Linked DNA regions of Caenorhabditis elegans. The protein of the gene in region 1 purifies or fractionates together with the protein of each later gene. This does not show direct contact. Each region holds a gene or a part of one and is shown on either strand. Other genes may lie near its edges. The genes, in order: spe-54 and trm-2A.

The links.
Region 2: the proteins of spe-54 (region 1) and trm-2A fractionate together in Caenorhabditis elegans (co-fractionation; one large-scale study listed by BioGRID). This does not show direct contact.

What each region holds. Positions count from the first base shown.
Region 1 is NC_003279.8:8,867,540-8,872,111, forward strand, and holds spe-54 (Tyrosine-protein phosphatase domain-containing protein), read left to right. Parts: upstream 1-2,175; 5' UTR 2,176-2,241; intron 2,242-2,564; 5' UTR 2,565-2,567; coding exon 2,568-2,693; intron 2,694-2,798; coding exon 2,799-2,925; intron 2,926-3,093; coding exon 3,094-3,177; intron 3,178-3,222; coding exon 3,223-3,343; intron 3,344-3,412; coding exon 3,413-3,634; intron 3,635-3,701; coding exon 3,702-3,791; intron 3,792-3,843; coding exon 3,844-3,937; 3' UTR 3,938-3,992; downstream 3,993-4,572. Other genes in the region: F55H12.2 (uncharacterized protein), read left to right, coding at 438-563, 616-702; snf-2 (Transporter), read left to right, coding at 4,412-4,572.
Region 2 is NC_003283.11:902,723-911,006, forward strand, and holds the start of trm-2A (tRNA (uracil(54)-C(5))-methyltransferase), read left to right. Parts: upstream 1-2,240; 5' UTR 2,241-2,245; coding exon 2,246-2,391; intron 2,392-2,468; coding exon 2,469-3,227; intron 3,228-4,780; coding exon 4,781-5,006; intron 5,007-6,037; coding exon 6,038-6,529; intron 6,530-7,931; coding exon 7,932-8,014; intron 8,015-8,165; coding exon 8,166-8,271; 3' UTR 8,272-8,284. Other genes in the region: fmo-5 (Flavin-containing monooxygenase), read right to left, coding at 1-36, 764-825.

The DNA.
Region 1 (4,572 bases):
TTGAACTCATAAACTCAAAAACCAAAATTTGATATACAAAAAAAATAATCCAAACTACATGGTCAATTCAAACCGCGGGAAAAAAGTACATAAATCGCACCAAAGATTTCCGAAAAATGATGAAATCTGTCCATATGATCTGTTATCAGTGGACGAAGGAGGTGGGTCGGAAGAGAAGAGAATGGGGGTATAAAATGAAAAGGGAATGGGGCAAAAAATGTGAATCTTATGATTTTGTACAAGAATAAAACAAAGTTTGACAATTTTTTTTTCGTTTCCAAGAAACTTGAAATCGTTCTTGTTCTTCATATTCTCGTTTCTTCTTTCATTCTTCAATTTTCCCAAACTTTTCATTTCTTGTTCTTTAACTTTCTTGGTACAAATTTTCTAACTGAATCTATTTTCAGCAATTTCAAATCAACTCTATAATTTCAAAAATGTCTGGAAAGCTAGAAATAATCTCACTTGAAGAATTTGATGAACCATTCGAGGAGATTCTCAAAGCAGAAGCCGAAGAAGCTGAAAAACAATGGACTGGAAATTCATTTGATTCATGGGAAACAGTCAGTTCTGTTGGTGTCAACGTATCATATTCAAATTATCAATTTTAAAAAGGATTCTGCAAATTATTCTGCCATATCAATCATCTCAATCGAATTACGGGCTTTAAATTCAAATCAATCTCACTCTTTCAATTTCTAAATATATGTGATTTAATTGTATGAAGCATTCCATGAAAATAAATTAATTTTATGAAGCTTGAAGCAACTTTTATCTTCAAAAATCAGAAAATTTTAGATTGCTGTGGCTTTTTCCATTTTTTTGAAACTTAAAAAAAATTATTTTGCAAAAAATCTTAAAAAAACACCGGGGATTTGAAATTCAACTGTTAACTGAAAATATGACAAATGTTTCAATAACATCAAATTAATAAGGAACTTAACTGGGTTTGAAGCAACAAAGTGGTTCAGAATTCTCATGTTAACCATGACAAATACACGCTGATCATATCACCAACGGACATAACGCACACTGTGACTTGCAAATGGTGACAAACGGTGATAGATTTGTCAAAAATGAATTGCTATCTATTTACAACCAAGTTTTCTTAATATTTTGAATTAAATTGAATTTATTTACGTTCTACAGAAGACTTAGAATATCAGGAGAGGACCACTCTTGACTCTTCCCTCGTCCGCTCGTCTGCAAAACGTCTCCCAACAAAGTGAAAACTTAAAATGAAACAGAAAAAAACTTTAAATATTTCGTTTAGACAAGATACCGGTCAGCAAAAACTGCGGGCGTAGAGTAAACGAAGGGGCAATAAATAAAAAACAATCATAATACAGAATTTGTAAAAGTCACAACCGAAATCCTTTCTTAAAAAGTATGCTTAAAATAATTGATTTCCTATAAACTGCGTTTTTTCTCTAGTTTCATTCAAATTTAACCACCTTAAAATTTAATCGCACTGTTTCTGAAACAGTGAAGTCTCTGACATTTTTTGTAGGACTATGATTTCAATGTAAAAACCTACAGAAAATTTCAAAGCCTAGAACCATCATCTTTGGCCTAGAAACCCACTGTCTCGTTCCCAAAACTTTGGCAAATTGATATGATAAGTGATAAGATAAGATAAGAATTCAAATTTTGTTCTTTTTTATTTCCTTTTTTTGTTGTACCACAATGAAAAATTGAAAAAAGACAAAAAGTTCAGAAGGTGTCACCTGATTCATTCACTTTTTTGTTTCATCTCTTCTCGTGAATTTCTCGTGATTTTCTCCTTTTTTCAACGGAAAAAGTTATATGATAAGGTTGACAGTTTTTTTCAAATCAAATTAAAGATCGGTGGCAAATACCAAAAAGAAGCCTGCATTAAAATTAAACTCTAAAATTTGAAACTATAAAAGTTGTAGAAAATGAAAACAAACATGTCGGCTAACATCTTTTGATGAGCAAAATATATTGATTCACATCAGTTGAAAATATATATTAGTTTATAAAACGTGAAAACTTATAAGTTTATAATATAAGCAAGTAAGTTTTGATAATTCAAAAAATAGTTGGAAATATAAACATTATTTTTAACGGCAGAAACTATTACAAAGTTCAGGGGCAGGGCATGGGGACAGAAGAAAAACAACGATGCCTAGAAAAATAAAAAAATAAGAATTCAATTTATTACCTAAACAAAAACTATTGTGTCGTGGAAGCAAAGAATCGAGAGGTTCAAATTTGTCAGTAAGTTATCTTATCACAGTGGGATTATAATTTTAAAAAAAGCGTTCTTCTTCAGTTTCGTTAGAATTTTATTTATATTTACTTCCTACCACATAATCCATTGCATGAGTAATACCTGTTTGCTAGTGGTCCACCTACTTGCCAACGGTCTTGTCTTATTTCTGCCTACACGCCTGCATACGTTATGCCTACTAGTGCATGTTTGTCTACAGGGCCACTAATGTTCCTAGTTTTGTGCATGACGGATTACACGCCTTTCTCGTTTTAGTGATTTATTCGGAATCAGAAAAATCCAATTTGTTCATATCACTTCTTTTTTTCAGAAAATGGCGGATACTGTTCAAACAAATGGTCGTGCAAGTCTCTTAGCTGCCGTCAATAATCGTGCTTCAACCCGTTCCACTCGTAAAAAAAAGACGACGATGCTTTCCCCAAAAAAGTTTTGCGATTTTGTAAGTTTACAATGTTTAATTTTAATTAAAGTTAGCGCTTGCTTTCTTTTATACAGGAAACTTATTGATCAGGTTTAATAAAATATGAAAACTTCAAACTTTCAGATTAATTCCAAAACGAACTCGAAAAGTTTTGAAGCTGGAGTTGCAGAGTTTTACAAGGAAACATATTTGGAATCTCCAACCTTTTTCAACTATTTTAAGTCACCGAAAGATAAGAATTTTTCCGAAAGTGAGTTCAACAACTAAAAAGTTTTGAATATTGTAGGTGAAGTTGCGCTAGTGTGACTCAAAATAGATTGAAAGAACTAAATGTCTATTTAAGCCATTCGCAATTCTTCACCTGTACTACTCCACCTTTAAAAGACTTTTGGCTTCAAAAGTATCATAAACATTTTAGATGTCTGGCTTTACGACGCCACCCGTGTCATTGTTCCTGGTGTGGACTACTACCATGCTTCTTGGGTTGATGGGCTTAAGCCAAGTATGAATATCATTTATTATTTTGAAATTAATTTTGAAAATTCAGATCAATACATTCTTGCTCAAGCTCCACGTGATGCCAGCGCAGCCAAGGACTTTTTTAAACTTTTGGAGCACGTGAAGGCTGAAGGTCTTATTGTTGCTGAAGGAGCGGACGAGTTTTCAAGGTACGAGCTTTGATTCATAGCAATTGATCTTATTCAGAGAATTAAGTTATTTCAAAAGTACATTTTCAGTGCAATAACGGCAAAATTTGAAAAAGGAACAGGGAAAAATGATTTCGTGTCAACTGCCGTCATCAAGGAAAACGGTCTGCATTTGAAAGCAATCAAGTTTTGTCGTTGGGCTGAACCACTTTCGGCAATTGAAATCAATGATATGTTGGAGAAAAGTCGAAAGTATTTGGGATGCCCATTGAAGGGTCCTTTGGTTATTGTGTGCAAAGATGGAGCTGCAAAGTATGATTTTTTCCAATATTAAAAATAGTTTATCGTTATTGTTAAGCGAATTACCCTTTCTTTTTAGAAGCGGTTTAGTGGCTTTTATCGATACGGAAGCGGATCGTTTGATGAAACACGGGAAGGCCAAGCACACTGACACTATCAAACAAATTCGGTACGTTCCCCTTTTCACTATTTATAATTATTCTAATCTGAAATCTTTTCAGTTTCATGAGAAGCAATACGTTTGATACATTCGACAGCTACGATCTTGGAATTAACTCACTTATTGAATTGTGCAATAGATACAAGAAGAAATAGACAATTGCATACTTTTTATGGGTTGAATGAAACGAATAAAGCTTTGCATGCTTCACTTTTTGTTTATTCAAAAGTAGTTGAAGTGGATAAAAGTACACAATTAGGTAGGCAGTATATCAACCTGCTTTATGCCTGCCTCCCTACCACGCATTGTTTATCATTATATATTTTTCGCAAAATCGCTTCATTAATAGGCTTACTATTTGAAAAGTTACACAAAAAAAAGAAACACTGGATATTTAAATATACACAATTTACGTGGACTTGTTCAAATTGAAATTATAGATTTCCATTGAACGTGGACTTTTCGTGCCATATTTAGACCTTTCGTGAAAAAAATGCTGCAAAATTGAAAAAAAAAACTGGAACTTACTTTTAATCAAAGTTGATCATTATTTTATTTCGCAGTCGAAGAATATTTCATCGGAATTTGCAAAGGATTTATAACAAAATAGAAGAAGAACTAGCTGAAGAATGCCGACCCCTGTATCAACGAAGAAGACTATAGCACCTTCAACGATGAAGACTACAGTGGCTCCGCCGACGATGAGAACGACAATGGCTCCGACGACGATGAAAACGACAGTAGCGCCGCCGACGATGAAGACCACAAGATCACCATCAACAATGAAGAC
Region 2 (8,284 bases), on another chromosome or scaffold:
CAGGTCACTTCGACGTTTGGGTGAAGCAGGGCATGTCTGGAAAAAATAGAAGTTTCAGTTTTTTTTGCGCGTAAAATGTGGTGTACTGCAGCTGTGAACCTCACCGCAATGCACTATATTTTACGCGCAAACTATTACGGAAACGCCAAAATTTTAAGAATGCGTATTGGACAACATAATTGACGCGCAAAATATCTTGTAGCGAAAACTACAGTAATTTTTTAAATGACTACTGAAGCGCACACGTTGATTTACGAGCTCGATTTTTGAAAAGTGACAGCGATATTACATTTAACTGTGTTTCTTAAAGGAGGGCGCATTTATGAGAAAGGGTCTCGCCACGCGCCATTCATTGATTTTTGGAGTGCGTGGCGGGACCATTTCGAAAAAATGCGCCCTCCTTTAAGGTCGTACGAGTGAAGAAAAAATGCACTGTAATTTCAAATTTAAAAAAAATTATTGATAAATAAACTTAAAACAAGTAAAAAAGTGAGCCCGTAAATTGACACAAGCGCTACAGTAGGAATTTAAAGGATTACTGTAGTTTTCGCTACGAGATATTTTGCGCGTCAATTATGTTGTCTAATACGCATTCTCAAAATGTAGTGTTTTATCTATTTTTCTCTTCAAAATGAAGTTTTATATTCAGATTTTCACATTTTTAGGCAAAATTTCAAGAAATTTTTCATTTTTATCACAAGAAAAAAACGGTTAGGGTATAAAATTGGTATTGCCTCGCACTTCTAAAAGAGAACCCACATACCTGATAGACGGGAGCCCGGAGGCTCCGGCACCGACCACAAGAAGTTGTTTTTTGGCTACCATTGTCGAAAAAAAAATCGTTACGATTTGATAACAAAACTGTCTTTTCCCAACGTATTTATAGTGCGGTGGGGTGATCAATTTGGGTAGACTGGCTATAACGAGAGATATGGAGTCTGGTGAGAGACGCAGACAGCGAGGGACTACTCGTGTGGTGAACGTGTTTGATCATGGTGCATCAGACTAGAAAAAGGTTGTCTCGTGAACCTTTTTTAACCTTTATGGCTAGAATTTAGTTCAGTCACATTTTAAAAAAGCAAAAGTGTAATTTCATGGTCTCACAGCGATTGAGATATTAGTGTGAAAATTATTTTTAATGATTTTTTTCCCATTTTTCTTTTCTATTCAATCAATAATGACTATTTTTAACAACCAATTCTGCTCAAAAACTAGGCGATTTTTACTTTCTCAGGCCACCTGCGCCACAGCGCCTTTGAAACGGATTTCGATTTTAATTACTACAGTAATCTCTCATTGGAGCGCGCTTGCAAAATTTGCAGTTCTTTTAATTTTTATACCAATTGATTTGATGAAGTTGGCTCAGAAACAGAAGATGAAAAAATGGTTTTTAGAAGAAAAACAGTAAATAATATTTTCAGCGATAAAATTGGTGACAAAATTTAATTGTAAAGTTTGAAAATATTGAATTTTACGTGAATTCTCCTGTTGTGCTGAAAATACATCCTTGCGGGACAGATCAATGGAAAAAAGTGGTTAACATTTTGTTTATATTCAAATTTTAGACTAACCTAGGCTGACCTAGCCTACCCCAGGCTGACCTAGCCTACCCCAGGCTGACCTAGCCTACCCCAGGCTGACCTAGCCTACCCCAGGCAGGCCTATCCTACCCCAGGCAGGCCTAACCTACCCCAGGCAGACCTAGTCTACCCTAGGCAACCTACCCCAGGCAGGCCTAACCTACCCCAGGCAGGCCTAACCTACCATAGGCAGACCTAGTCTACCATAGGCAGACCTAGTCTACCATAGGCAGACCTAGTCCACCCTGGGCAGACCTAGTCTACCCTAGGCAGACCTAGTCCACCCTGGGCAGACCAATTTTCAATTCCGGCAATTTTCCGGTTTGCCGATTTGCCGGAAATTTCCAATTTCATCGACATTCTGAAGTAATATAGCTTAAACTCCACCAATACTGTTTATTTTATATCAGTTTTGCGTTCAAATTGTATCGAAAAAACTCCTTTTTAAACACCCTCCGTTTTAATTCTCAATAGAGCGCGCTTGCCGAAGAGGCGGTGTACTCCTCTCGGACACCTGCGATAATTGTTGTTTTTGATTTATATTCTAGATTTTCCCCGAAAAATTCCGGTTTTCCTTCTTTTTGAATGGTTTTTTACACTAAAAGTCGCATAAAAAAGCTTTAAAACCTTTAAAAATCGATAAATAATCAAGTTTTCCAGGTAAAATGGCGGATCCGGTCGATATTAAGACGGAAACTCCGGAGTTAACTCCAGAAGTCAAAGAAGAAAAGGCAATCGATTTGGATCGGATTCATATTAAGAATATCCCAACATTTATCGGATTCAAGCAGTTCAAGAAAGTATTGGAAAAGTGGGATTTTTTTTCGATTTTTTAATTAAAAAATTGATTTTTTAATTAAAAAAATTGATTTTTTTTCCTTTTTCCAGAATCCTCGGCGACGTAAAATCGAAAAAAGTGCGCCATATGTCAGATTACGCCTATGTGACGTTCGAAACCCCAGAGGACGCCCAAAAAGCTATAAATCTAGTCGATGGCTATGACTACAAGAAATTCATACTGTCAGCGCAGCTAGCAGCCACAGAAGTCAAATCTTTCCGTCCGGCTAACCCGGAAAATACCGAGCCAGCTCAGCAGAAAACCGCCCGTGAAAGTGTAACTCCGCTCGCCGAGATGGAATACGGGAAGCAGTTGGAGTTGAAGCAGCAGAATAGTGTGGGCGTCGTTGAAAAGTTGTACCGGCAGCTAATTCAGAATAAAGTTGCACATTTGGGCAAACAGACTCAATTCCGAGATCGTGTTCTTCGGGAAATTCTCCCCGCACCGAAAACCGCCGGTTATCGAAATAAATGTGAATTTACAATTGGTCACGATTTGAATGGAGAAATTTGCGTGGGATTCGTCGGCGGAAGATTCTCGAAAAATCAGCATTTTGTGATACCGCCCGTCGACGTGGATATTGTCAGCACACAGATGATGGCGATCGTTGGGGATGTGCATGAATTTGTGAAAGAATCGGCGTTGGAGCCATTTAATGAGTTTGATAGGAAAGGATTCTGGCGGATGCTGACGATTCGGGAATTTGGAGGAGATGTTATGCTGATTTTTACGGTTTTTCCGCTGGAGGATGGCGTGGAGAGGATGGAAGAGATTCAGAAGAAGATTGAGACGAGATTTTTGGATTTTGAGTGCGATTTTCTCATTTTTTAGGAAAATTTCCAATTTTTCAGAAGAAAAATGACCAAAATTGAAAATTTTATGTTTGAAACAAAAAAAAATCGATTTTTTCGTCAAACGCACAAAATTTCTCATTTCATTGATATAAAAATGTGGAAAAAAGTGCGTTCTAACTGAAAATAACATTTATTTCTGTTAAAAAACTTATAAATGCCTCAAATAGTCTATTTTTGGTCTTTTCAAGCTTTTCAACAAAAATAAATGCTATTTTCAGTTAGAATGGACCATTTTCTATGTTTTTATATGAATTTTTGAAGAACTTTTAAGTTTCTGAAAATTCCCGGAAAAAATATTTGAAAATCTTCTTACAAACTTTTTTTTTGCAACTTTTTCACGGAAAATATGCAAATTTACCATAAAATTCAATTTTTATCAACCAAAAGTTTGAAATATGTTTCAAAAAATCGAAATTTTTTGTTTTTTCCAACAAAAATTTGTAATTTTTGCAGAAAAAAAAACAGAAAATTTAACAAAAAATTGCTTTGGAAAAAACCGAAAATTTCAGAAAAAAAACCGTCTATTACAGGATCACAAAATTCTGAAAATGCGTACTGGGCAACATATTTGACGCGCAAAATATCTCGAAGCGAAAACTACATTAATCTTTTTAAGGACTACTGTAGCGCTTGTGTCGATTTACGGGCTCGATTTTCGAAAATATTTTCTTGTGAGTTTTGACGAATATTTAAAAAAAAAGTGAAAATCGCTAAGAAAACGGTTTCGAAAATCGAGCCCGTAAATCGACACAAGCACTACAGTAGTCATTTAAAAGATTACTGTAGTTTTCGCTACGAGATATTTTGCGCGTCAAATATGTTGCAAAATACGCATTCTCAGAATTTTTGTGTTTCCGTGTTCAAATGGATCAGGTTTGTAACGACATTTTCAAATAATTTTTCGGGAATTTTCTGAAATTTATAAATTCTCTCAAAACTCATATAAAAATGTAGAAAAAGGTTCGTTTCAACTGAAAATATTATTAATTTTCGTTGAAAAGCTTGAAAAATGCCTCAAATAGCCTATTTGTGGTTTTTTTAAAGCTTTCACACAAAAATTAATGTTATTTTCAGTTGGAACGAACCTTCTTCTGCCTTTTTATATGAGTTTGAAGATAATTTTTGAATTTCAGAAAATTCTCGAAAAATTATTGGAAAATCTGCTTACAAACCTGGTTCGATTTAACACAAAACCAAAAAATTATGAAAGTGCGTACTGGGCAACATATTTGACGCGCAAAATATCTCGTAGCGAAAACTACAGTAATCCGTTAAATGACTACTGTAGCGTTTGTGTCGATTTACGGGCTCGATTTCCGAATTGTTTTTTTTTTTCGAAAGTCAAGCCCGTTAATCGACACAAGCGCTACAGTAGTCGTTTAACGGATTACTGTATTCTTCGCTACGAGACCCTATTTTGCGCGTCAAATGTGTTGTGCAATACGCATTCTCAGAATTTTTGTGCTCCCGTAATACAATCAAAAACCCCATACCTTAAAATTTTTCAGAACATTCAAGGAGAAAAAGTACCGAGTGTGTAGTATCTATTGGCAACAAATGGTTCATATCAGTGATACACCGAACTTCAAGCTGATCGGTGGAACTCCGTACATTTATGAATCTCTGTTGGACTGCCGATTCCGAGTATCACCGCCAGCGTTTTTCCAGACGAATAGCCAGGCGGCGGCGGTTCTCTACTCGACGATTGGAGAGCATTGTGGGCTCAGTGAAAAGGTTCTTGAAGAATCTGCGATTTTATTATTGAAAAGCGCATTAAAAATGCCGAGAAAACGCGCTCCACGGCCAATTGAATACGCCCCGCCCCCAAGCCAAGGGTCTCGTTAGGTTTTCAGTGATTTTCGCTGTTTATTTGGTGTTTTAAATGAATTTTGTGTCAAAAATAATGAAATCAATTTTTTAACAGGATTTTACATGATTTCCACCTAGAAATTATTATTTTTAATGATTTTCTGCAGAAAATAATAATTTTTACTAAAAATCAATATTTTTCTATGATTTTTACCCAAAAAATCAGGTTTTTTTCTATTAATTTTGCCTAAAAATCATTATTTTAAATTTTTTCCCCAGAAAAGCTTTTCTTTCCATAAAACCAGAATTATTCTATGATTTTCACCCATAGAATCAGTATTTTTAACTAAAATCAGAATTTAAACATTTAGGATTCCCCGATGATTTCTACCCGAAAAATCAATATTTTTCAATAATTTTTACCCGAAAAATCAGGTTTTTTAATGTTTTTCCCAGAAAATCATAATTTTTACCTGAAAACTAGGATTTTTGATGATTTTCACTCAAAAATCAGCATCTTCATTAATTTCATCAATTTCAGCAAAAAAATCATTAAAAACCACTGAAAAAATGACAAAAAATGCTTGAAAATTGGCGAAAATTTCCGGTTTTCCCGCCAAAAAAATCAAAATATTGATTTTTAGTAAAAATTATTATTTTCTGCAGAAAATCATCAAAAATAATAATTTTAGGTGGAAATCATGTAAAATCCTGTTGAAAAATTGATTTCATTATTTTTGACACAAAAATAATTTAAAACATTAAATAAATAACGAAAATCACTGAAAACCTAACGAGACCCATGGCTTGGGGGCGGAGCTTTTTCAATTCGCTGTGGAGCGCGTTCACACGCCGAATTTTGAAAAATGCTCAAAAATTTCAATTGTTTCTTAATTTTTGACTGAAAATCTGCAAAATCGATGAAATAAAAAGTGAAAATAGTTTTTTTTCTCCAGAAAACCAACGAAGATGTTCCAGTGGAAACTGATGCATCGGAAAAAGCCCCAGAAGCTCCAGCAGCACCTTCAGAGCCCATCCCCGACGATCCATCCGATGCTCCTCCGGCAAAGATCCCGAGAATCGAGCCGGAGCCCACTGCAGCAGATGAAGCACCTGCTCCAGAAGATCCCGGAACCATCCTTCTTGACATTTGCTGTGGAACCGGAACGATCGGTCAATGCCTTCTGAAAAATATTCAAAAATCGCAAAAAGTGTGCTGCATCGGAATTGAAATGATCGCCGAAGCGGTGGAGGACGCCAAACAAAATGCGAAACAGAATAAAATGGAAACATGCTGTAAATATATTGCTGGAAAAGCCGAGGACACATTCCGATCGATGAGATATCATCTGCCGAATGGTTTTGATCTACGAAAATCGAGAGTGGTCGGAGTGCTCGATCCACCGAGAGCCGGAATGCACGAGAAGGTTATTCTCGCGTGTAGAGAGGTTCGAATATTTGGATTTTAGAAATTCCAAAAATTACCTTTAAAACTTGTAGATTTACGCGTAAATTTTTTTAAAAATAGGAATCGAGGGTGTTCGTTTTTCGATTTTTTAAAAAATTATTTTATCGTTGTTTCGATTTATCAAAAATTAGCTTAACATTTTGGCTATTATTCTTCTTTTTAGAAGAAATTGTTATGTTTTTTCTTACCAATATAATCAATTTTTTTAAATCATAGTTTATGGTTAATTTTCTGAACATTTTTTTCGATTTTTCAATTTTCACTGAAAAACATCAACAAATCTTTAAAAAATGCCGCTTTTGATAGGAATATATTATTCAGACGCGAAATTTCGGGGTTTTCGCGACTTCCCGGTCTCGACACGACAAATTTTTGCGTGCGCCTTTAAAGGTGGTGTACCGAAATCTGAAAAAAAATTTCAAATGACTCCAAATTTTCACCTGATTCCGAATAATTATGTTAAAAAATCCGAAAAAAATTTCCCAGATGTTATATTACCGCTTGAAATCGAGAATTTTCGCGCCAGAGACGCCATATGTCGATTTACGAGATTTGTGTATATTTACGAAATGTTTATTTTATATCGGATGCTGTTTTTCGTTTTTCAATGAGTTTTCTTCGTTTTCGGCGGTTTTTTGTTTGGAAATGTATGTTTTAAGGTCAATTGAACATTCTTTTTAATCAAAAAATTAGAACATTTTCCATAAAAAATTTTTGCTCGTTTTTTTGATACGAAAATGTTTAATTGACCTGAAGAAACACATTTTCGAAAAAAAAACCGCCGAAAATTAAGGAAATTCATTGAAAAAAAAGGAAATCAGCATCGGATAAAGATTAAACATTTCGTAAATATACACAAATCTCGTAAATCGACACGTGACGTCTCTGGCGCAAAAATTCTCGATTTCAAGCTGAAATATAAAATCTGGGAAATTTTTTTTTTTAATTTTTTAATCATAAATATTCGTAATCAGTGGAAAATTTGAAATCTGAAAATATTTTGATAATATTTTCCAGATTTCAGTACCAAGGGTGTCAGTTTATCGAATAAGAAAAAGTTGAAAAACGAAAATTTTTCGATTTTCAAAAATTAGCTTAAAAATTTGTTTAAAAGTTTTTTCGATTTTCCCACGTGGGGTGTCAGAGTGTCCCACATCGGTGTGATCTACAAGAAATGCGGGAATTCCGACGCGCTGACTTCTCAACACATTTCTTATGGTTAAGAGCGAGATGACGTCACATTTTTCTGAGAAAAAATTCCCGCATTTTTTGTAGATCACACCGATATGGGACACTCTGGCACCACGTGCTTTTCGGTTTTTCGAAAGAAAAAACCGGCAGTCCTGGCCTGTAACACCTGAAAACGGTTTTTTTTGCTCCAGATGGAAACAATGCGTCGTCTGATCTTTGTCTCGTGTGAACCAAACGCCGCCATCTCCAACATCGTGAATCTGTGCCGTCCGTCGTAAGTGTATTGCACACACCTAGCACAGTCTTATCTCACTACAATCTAAATGTGATAAGACTGTGTGTTTTTCTCTCCGTCTCCCTATCTCTCTCTCTCTCTCTCTCTCTCTCTCTCTCTCTCTCTCTCTCTAAAACCAATTCATTTATAGGTCTCGAAAATACACTGGAGACGCGTTTTCGGTGACCCGTGTGCAGCCGGTCGACATGTTCCCGCAGACGAATCATATGGAGTGGATTATTCAATTGGATCGTTAATTTTTGCAATTTT